2 linked regions of the Mus musculus genome follow. The protein of the gene in region 1 interacts with the protein of each later gene in a pairwise test. Links are inferred from orthologs where the notes say so. Each region holds a gene or a part of one and is shown in the gene's direction. Other genes may lie near its edges. The genes, in order: Rapgef4 and Bmerb1.

Region 1 (3,820 bases):
GTAAATTGTAAAGACAGTATTTAAATTTCAAAAAAATAATGTACTAAATCAGTAATTTGAATAAAAATGTAAAGCTCTAGATTTTTAAAATGCAGATGAACGAAGCAATAAAGGTTTCATATTGCCACTCATGTATAAATGCACCTGAACACCCACACATCGGCTCCCCCAACTCCAATATTGAATCTGTCAAGATTTTAGAACCGACTTACATGTAAACCTTTATTTTTGAGGTTGTGCCCCCCCCTACCTTCAGCTCACTTCACAGCCAGGGGGTCAGGTGATCCAGTAACTCCTTTCGATTTTAGCCAAGTGTCTAGGAGCATTTGTGCTATTTACGGCTGATGTCAAGAAGCAGGAACAGCGGGGCTGCACCTCAAGCTGGAGAGTTGTAATCCTATTACATCTCCCTGAGCCTTTCCCCCACGGCTGCCCCTATGGCTGCCCCTATGGCTGCCCCTATGGCTGCAGATGCCTGGGGGTGACTGGATTGACTTTTAAATCCCGAAGGGTCCTTGCCTCAAAGTCCCCACGCGTGAGTCAAGTGGTGGATTGGGCACTTGCTAAGAGGGCCTGGCTCCTCTGGCATCCCTGTGGCCCCAGCTTCTCTTCGTTATCTTTTGAGGTCCTGTGCTTTCTAGGTGACACCACTGAGCACTGGACTGGTATCCAATCCAGTGTCCTTCAGTGATGATCCTTAGCGGGAAATGAATGAGGCTGGCATCTTCCAAGTCCTGGATTTGTGTAGTCAGGATTAATAAACAAGTCCTCCTTTGATTCTGTGTAATAAGTACATAGTATCCTGTTGTTCAGGGTAAAGCTCTCTTTATGAAGGTCATGTGTAAGTTGTGACATTTTCTTCCTCCAGCTATCTCCGAGGAGGCCTGCCACTTACCTTGGGTGATAATGTTATTAAATACCCTTTAATGACATTAATAATTCCAAAATAAACTTAGATAGAAAAGGCAGTTAGGAATTTACTCAGTTTTCTAATGTAAAAATGACCCCTTACTCCGTACAACAAAGGTATATTACTAACTTTATGTAGTACTAGGCTTTGGAATTAAAAAAACAAAACAAACAAAACCCTTTTACACAAATCACTAACCCGTTGTGGTCGGGGGTAGTCCACAGAACAGAGTTTCACATATATGGATGTACCTCCCCTTCCTTCTCTTAGAAATTCCAGGCAGTGTGATCTGTCTCATTCATACCTCAAGAACATGCCTCCTTAGGGATGGGTAAGAAATCACTCGAGTCCTCTGGGAGGAGCAACATGTATAATCCAGAACAGTGACAGCCCCAGTGTTACCTTAAGATACTCTAGGAATGTGAATCCATTGTCAAGTTGACCAATCAAGTGTCCCTAGAGCTCAAAGAGACAAGTTTTGTCATTATTGATTAGGGTGTAATAAAAAGCAATGCTTTACAATTACTTACAAAGCCCCAGGTAAGTTAACCAATGACCATGCAGAGGGTTCTTCCTGCTGAGATTGGAAGGGATGGGAGTCTGTGTCCATTCAGCTCCTCCTATATTCTTCCAACTAGTGCACACATTCCTTTCTAGTCCCTGTCGGGATTGCTATGGCTCAGAGCCTCCCTCAGTATCTTTTCATATAGAATAAACCCCTTAGCGTGTTACTGACCAATGGATCCCATATTTGAAGCGTGTGTAACAATGCTTTGTCACTGTCTTTCTCTATAGACCTGGCCAGAGGACTGTGGATGACCTAGAGATTATCTACGACGAGCTCCTTCATATTAAAGCCTTATCCCATCTCTCTACCACAGTGAGTATCTCTTAATCAAGCTGTGGTGCACAGGCATCCACTCAAGCAATCACCATACACACGAGAGAAAATTAAATACAAACCACAGGATGAAAAAAATAACATCTCAGCCTAAGAAATGACTCAACGTGGGTATAGCTACAAGCCTGACAACCAGAGCCCCATCCCAGTAGCCTACGTGGTAGTCAAAGAGAACCAGCTCCCGAGAGTACACCGTGTGTGGCATGCAGTCACCCCACAAAATAAATAAATGTCCCTTAGAGGTCTGCCTGATGGGGATTGTTACAAGCTTGTCTAGACAGTAGTTTTGGAATAGACTTTCTGATCCAAGTAGAAGTCTAGTGAAAGTATTTCTGGATGATAGGAAATCGTATAATCTGTGTGATAGATAACTTTAGGCGAGCCTGAAAACCACCTCTAACGGGCACCACGCAAAGCACAAGTCCCTTCTCCTGTCCCTTGTCTTCCCACATTTTTCTTTTTTCCCCCCCTAGGTGAAACGGGAGTTAGCAGGTGTTCTCATTTTTGAGTCTCACGCCAAAGGAGGAACTGTGTGTAAGTGAGAGCCCTAATGGAAGCGCCATGCCTCACCACACTCCCTGCTGGGCAGGCCTGGCCACACCCTCTGGTCAGGCTTGGCCACACCCCCTCCCTGCCTGTCACGCCTGGCCACACCCCTTGCTGTTCATCAATGCCCCACTCTCTCTATTGGCCCTACTCTGACCTGGCAGGATATCACTTGGCACTTGTCCTTTTCTGGACTCGTGACTATTCCATCCTGTGTCAGTCAATCTGAAGTTTGGTGGGTATTCCAGCACCACACATGTAACACTTGCCAGTCTGAGTCCTGCAGGCTCTCTACCCCACTGGCTCAATACTGTCTAGAACGGGTGGGATGAATCAAGTCTCTACTCTTCCTGCAGGGTTCTGGGTAGTAACTTCCATATAGTGGATATAGAAGAACTAATCTGTGGCTGAGGGATAGTTCAGATAGCAGAGCACTTGCCTAACATGTTGAAACCCTCCCTGGGTTCTATGCTGAGCATTGCATAACCCAGTGTGGGGAGGAGGGTTGAGAGGGTGCTCCAGAGAGGGAAGTAGGAAACTTTAAGGTTCAAGGTCATCCATGGGTATAGAGCAATTTTGAGATCCAGTCACAAAAAAAAGGTTGAGGTTTTTGGTTTTTTTTTTTTTTAATGAATTAATTTGGCTCTGGAAATCTCCTGTTACAGTTAAAATACTTAACACACCTTAAGTTATCATTGACAATACTGTGTAAAGTATTGTGTTTCTTGTTTAGTTTTTTTTTTTTTTTTCATCATGCACCATGGGCTCCAAGCCCAAGAGAACTTCTTTGCCTCAGATAGTCACATAGTGTCAGTCATATGGGGGCTTCTCTCTGGAATTCACATTGTCCTTCAGTTCTGTGATCATAGCTGGAAGCAAGAAGTTTAGACATTAATAGATGCACGCAGCATTGCTGATGCTGGTGTTTCCCTCTAGTGGACAAAATCTTTGCTGAGCAGTTGGGGTTAAGGTCAGAAGATGAGTCAGCATGTCAGGGGTTATGAGGGGTTCTGTACGAAACTGAGAGGGACGGCTAGAGATAAATGGAAGTAAACCAGGGACACATGGAACACTTTGTTAGTCCCCAGCAATGAAACAAACTTCCAGGAGACCTGTTTTGGAAACTTTTGCTCTTTGTTAGATACATTGTGGTAGTTAAAAATAAACAAGAGATATGAGTTAGAGATGGAAACTGAGCTTTAAACATTGTATCTCAAAATGTCTCCCCCCCCACACACACACTCATTAGGAACACTATTGCTAATACCGATATCTCTGTCAGCAAGAAACCCAATTTTTTTTTTGCCTTTTCAGGATCATTTTTGTATAATTTTTATTTTTTGTTTCTTTAGTTCTCCTTTATTTAATTCGTTTTCATTATTCTGTTAATTCTTTTTATTCGAATCACTAGTTGTTTTCACTGAACTATGAAATATTTAAATGGATGAAAACAGAGATTATTA
Region 2 (3,820 bases), on another chromosome or scaffold:
AGTGAGTGACGATGAGGACATGACCACTCCTATGTATGGCTGAGGAACAGGCTTTTATTGTAGCTATGAGGGAGAGGACAGCAGATGCTTCTGAAGGAGTCTACACTGAACATGACCAACAAAATAGACTGGGCCATGAGAGGAGAGAGGGGGAGGAAAAATGAGAGAAGAAGAAAAGAGAGACAAGAAAGGCAGCCAACAGAACTAAGAGAGTTCATTAAAACCAAGAGAGCCAAGAAAGCATGCATGCCCCAAATGGCTGAGTTATATAGGAAAACGAGAAGCTGGGGGAAGGGAAGTGGACCCTGGGCTGGAGAGGTTTAGAGTAGAGAGAGGACTGGGTGAGAAGGACCTAGGACTCTCTAACAGGTACTTGTGCTGCTGGAAGAACCTGGCAGCCAGCATCTGCTTTGATATGTTAGCAGGCATCTACCTCACTTAGCCCTTTGTCCTGAGTTTCTTTGGGACCTGACCCTGAGTAGGTGGGATAATGTTGGCAAGCTGGGGGCTGCAGCAGTGAGTGGGCACATGGAGGCAGGGGGGCAGAGTCACACCTGAGCTCCACCCACAGAAGCCATGTCCCCTCGTCCAATGGATGACAGTCAATGCCCAAGAGCTGAAAATCATCCATGCTTGACACGTGCTTGGTGGCGGTATTTCTGTCAATGAGAAAGCTTTCCCTTCCCTTCCCTTCCCTTCCCTTCCCTTCCCTTCCCTTCCCTTCCCTTCCCTTCCAGGAAGTTCCATGCATCTTGTGCATTAAACACCCACAGATTCAGCCCCCTGGAAAAGTAATATCCCCACTGAAAGTTACACTGACCCTTTCTTGTCAAGATCCCTGGCAGATACACATGATTACTGTTAACTTAATGCTTGTGTTGTGTTCCATGTTACGGGCAGCCTGAAGTGATTTAACATATACAGAGGAAATGCAGGGCCACAGGTTGTGCTGGCTGGTTTTCTGTCACCCTTACACAAGCTAGAGTCAACAGAGAGGAAGGAGCTTCAGTTGGGGAAAAGCCTCCATGAGATCCAGGTGTAAGGCATTTCCTCAATCAGTGATCAATGGAGGAGGGCCCAGACCATTGTGGGTGGGACCATCCCTGGGCAATTTGTCCTGAGTTCTGTAAGAAAGCAGGCTGAGCAAGCCATGAGGAATGAGCCAGTAAGCAGCATGCCTCTGTGGTCTCTGCATCGAGCTCCTGCCTCCAGGATCCTGCCCTGTTTGAGTTCCTGTACTGACATCCTTTGGTGATCAACAGCAACGTGGAAGTATAAGCTGAAAAACCCTTTCCTTCCCAACTTGTTTTTTGTTCATGGTGTTTTGTCACAGCAATAGAAACCATATGTAAGACATATGTAAATATGGTGTGAGAGAGCGCCCATCTAATGTGTCAGGTCTCCAGGAATGTTGTCCACCTCCCTAGAGACAGGGTCTCTCATTAATTAGACCAGACTGGATGGCCGTTAAAACCCAAGGATATGCTTGTCTCCACTTTACCAGCACTAAGGTTGTCAGTGGGTGCAGCTATGCAACTGTCTTTCTGTGAGTCCTGGGGATTGAACTCAAGCCCTCATGCTTGAAAGGCAAGCAGCTTACCAAGGAGCCATCCCTTAGACCCTCCCTAGACCATGACTTTTCCAAACCTCTGTTTCTCCATCTGTAAGATACAAGAAGGAGCACAGTGCAGTCACATTAGCAAAAGAAGACACCAGCAGAACTGAATACAGCCCAACCTAGATTGCAGCTTAGCCTCAAGACTCCCAAAGCATGACCCCAGCTTTTGTTGGCACGGGAAGTTGGAGGGACATTGCACTTACCAAATACCTACTGTTCATCCTATCAGATGATGTCTCTGTTGCAACCCTTGGATATTTGTGAGTTCAAGGCCATCTTGGTCTATATAGTAAGCTCCAGGACAGCCAGGTTCTTGTAGAGAGACCTTGTCTCTAAAATCAACAACAACAACATTCACCCACAAACAACAACAAAAGCAAGCAAACAAAAAATAGTTGATAGAACCTGAGGAACTAATCCTGCCCTAGTTAGCATTACTATTGCTATGATGACACCATGAGCAAAAAGCTTGAGGAGAGGAGTGGCTTACACTTCCACATCATTGTTTATCATCGAAGGAACCTGGAAGCAGGAGGTGATGCAGAGGCCACAGAGGAGTGCTGCTTACAGGCTTGCCTTGTGGTTGTTCAGCTTGCTTTCTTATAAAACCCAGGACTGGGCTGGAGAGATGGCTCATCAGGTAAGAGCACTGACTGCTCTTCCAAAGGTCCTGAGTTCAATTCCTAGCAACCACATGGTGGCTTGAAACCATCTGTAATGAGATCTGATGCCCTCTTCTGGTGTGTCTGAAGACAGCTACAGTGTATTCATATAAATAAAATAAATCTTAAAAAAGAAAAAAAAAAAAAAAACAACCCAGGACCACCAGCCCAGGGATGGCACCACCCACAATGAGCTAGGCCCTCCCCCATCAATCACTAATTAAGAAGATGCCCTCCAGGCTTGCCTACAGTCAGATCTTCTGAAGGCATATTCTAAACTGGGGTTCCTCCTCTTGGGTGACTTTCATTTTTATCAAATTAATATGAAACTATCTAGCACAGCATCCAGTGTTGGCCACTAGCCTCCACCTGCATCCACAGACATGAATGAGCACACAGACACAAGAGTGTGCCTGTTTACACACATAAACGCACAAGCGGTCATAGTGCCTCTTCAAATTTACCCAGAGGATGGAGTAGTGGAGCCGCATGTCCAATCCTGTCCCCTCAGACTCAGTGTTTCTGCTACTTACACTCACTTCATGCTTTGTTCTGTCTTGAGACAGGGTCTCATGTGTTGTCCCAGGCTAGCTCCAAACCCACACTCTCCTGCCTCAACATCCTGAGTGCCGGGATTGCAGACATGCACCAGCATAGCTGCCTCACTGTTTTCTCCCTCCCAGAAAAAGAAAAAACCAAGCTGCAGAAGCAGAGAGAGGATGAGCTCATCCAGAAGATCCACAGACTGGTACAGAAGAGAGACTTCCTGGTGGATGATGCCGAGGTGGAACGCTTAAGGTGGGCGTCAGGCCATCAGATCCCGAGCCTCTACTTCCTGCACCGCCCTGCAAACCCACTATCTGCTCCTGGAATGTATGGCCTTGCCTAAAAGGCAGAGCCTCTGCAATTGCTCTGCATACACAAAACCCGCCTGACCTCAGAATCCGTCTCATATTCAAGAGAACAACTATGTCATCCTCCAAAATCTCGCAGAGTCCTGTATGTCTCAGCTGATGGTCATTTAGGCAGGTGGGCAGGAAGGAATTCCGTCATGTGATAGAGGAGAAAGTTCCTATACATTGTCTGGATGCATCAAAGCGACTCTCAAAACTTGTCAATATGTACAGAAACCAGTCCCCATGACAACCTCTCCCAAGTTCTGAGAATTGTGCTTTCCCTCATCTTTCCTTCCCCTCTTGCAGTTATCTTGGGCTGGGAGCCCCTGGCTCTGGGGCTGTACGACTGACTAGAGGCCTCTGAAGATGCCGGGCCTGGGTGCAGCTATGTCTTGGATATTTTCATCCCAAGACAAAGTCTTTGGAGTCTCTCTCCATGTAGGGGGCAACTTCCTCTTCTGCCGCAGACCCTCTGGGTCCCTGGTCTTTGAGGAACAGGATTACTTAGGCAGATGGGCAGAAGAGTCGGATGTAGTGACAATCAGTCAAACACACAAGAGAGGTGTTGAATCTGAATGCAATTTTCCAGTTGAGCATCAGACTTTTATAACACAGAATAAATTGCAGAACAAGGCACATTGAAT

Evidence for each region.
Region 2: the proteins of Rapgef4 (region 1) and Bmerb1 interact in binary tests that used the Homo sapiens proteins (3 or more experiments, as listed by UniProt). The link is inferred for Mus musculus from reciprocal best matches to the Homo sapiens genes RAPGEF4 and BMERB1.

What each region holds. Positions count from the first base shown.
Region 1 is NC_000068.7:72,193,932-72,197,751, forward strand, and holds part of Rapgef4 (rap guanine nucleotide exchange factor 4), read left to right. Parts: intron 1-1,705; coding exon 1,706-1,790; intron 1,791-2,284; coding exon 2,285-2,345; intron 2,346-3,820.
Region 2 is NC_000082.6:14,090,926-14,094,745, forward strand, and holds part of Bmerb1 (bMERB domain-containing protein 1), read left to right. Parts: intron 1-2,963; coding exon 2,964-3,078; intron 3,079-3,820.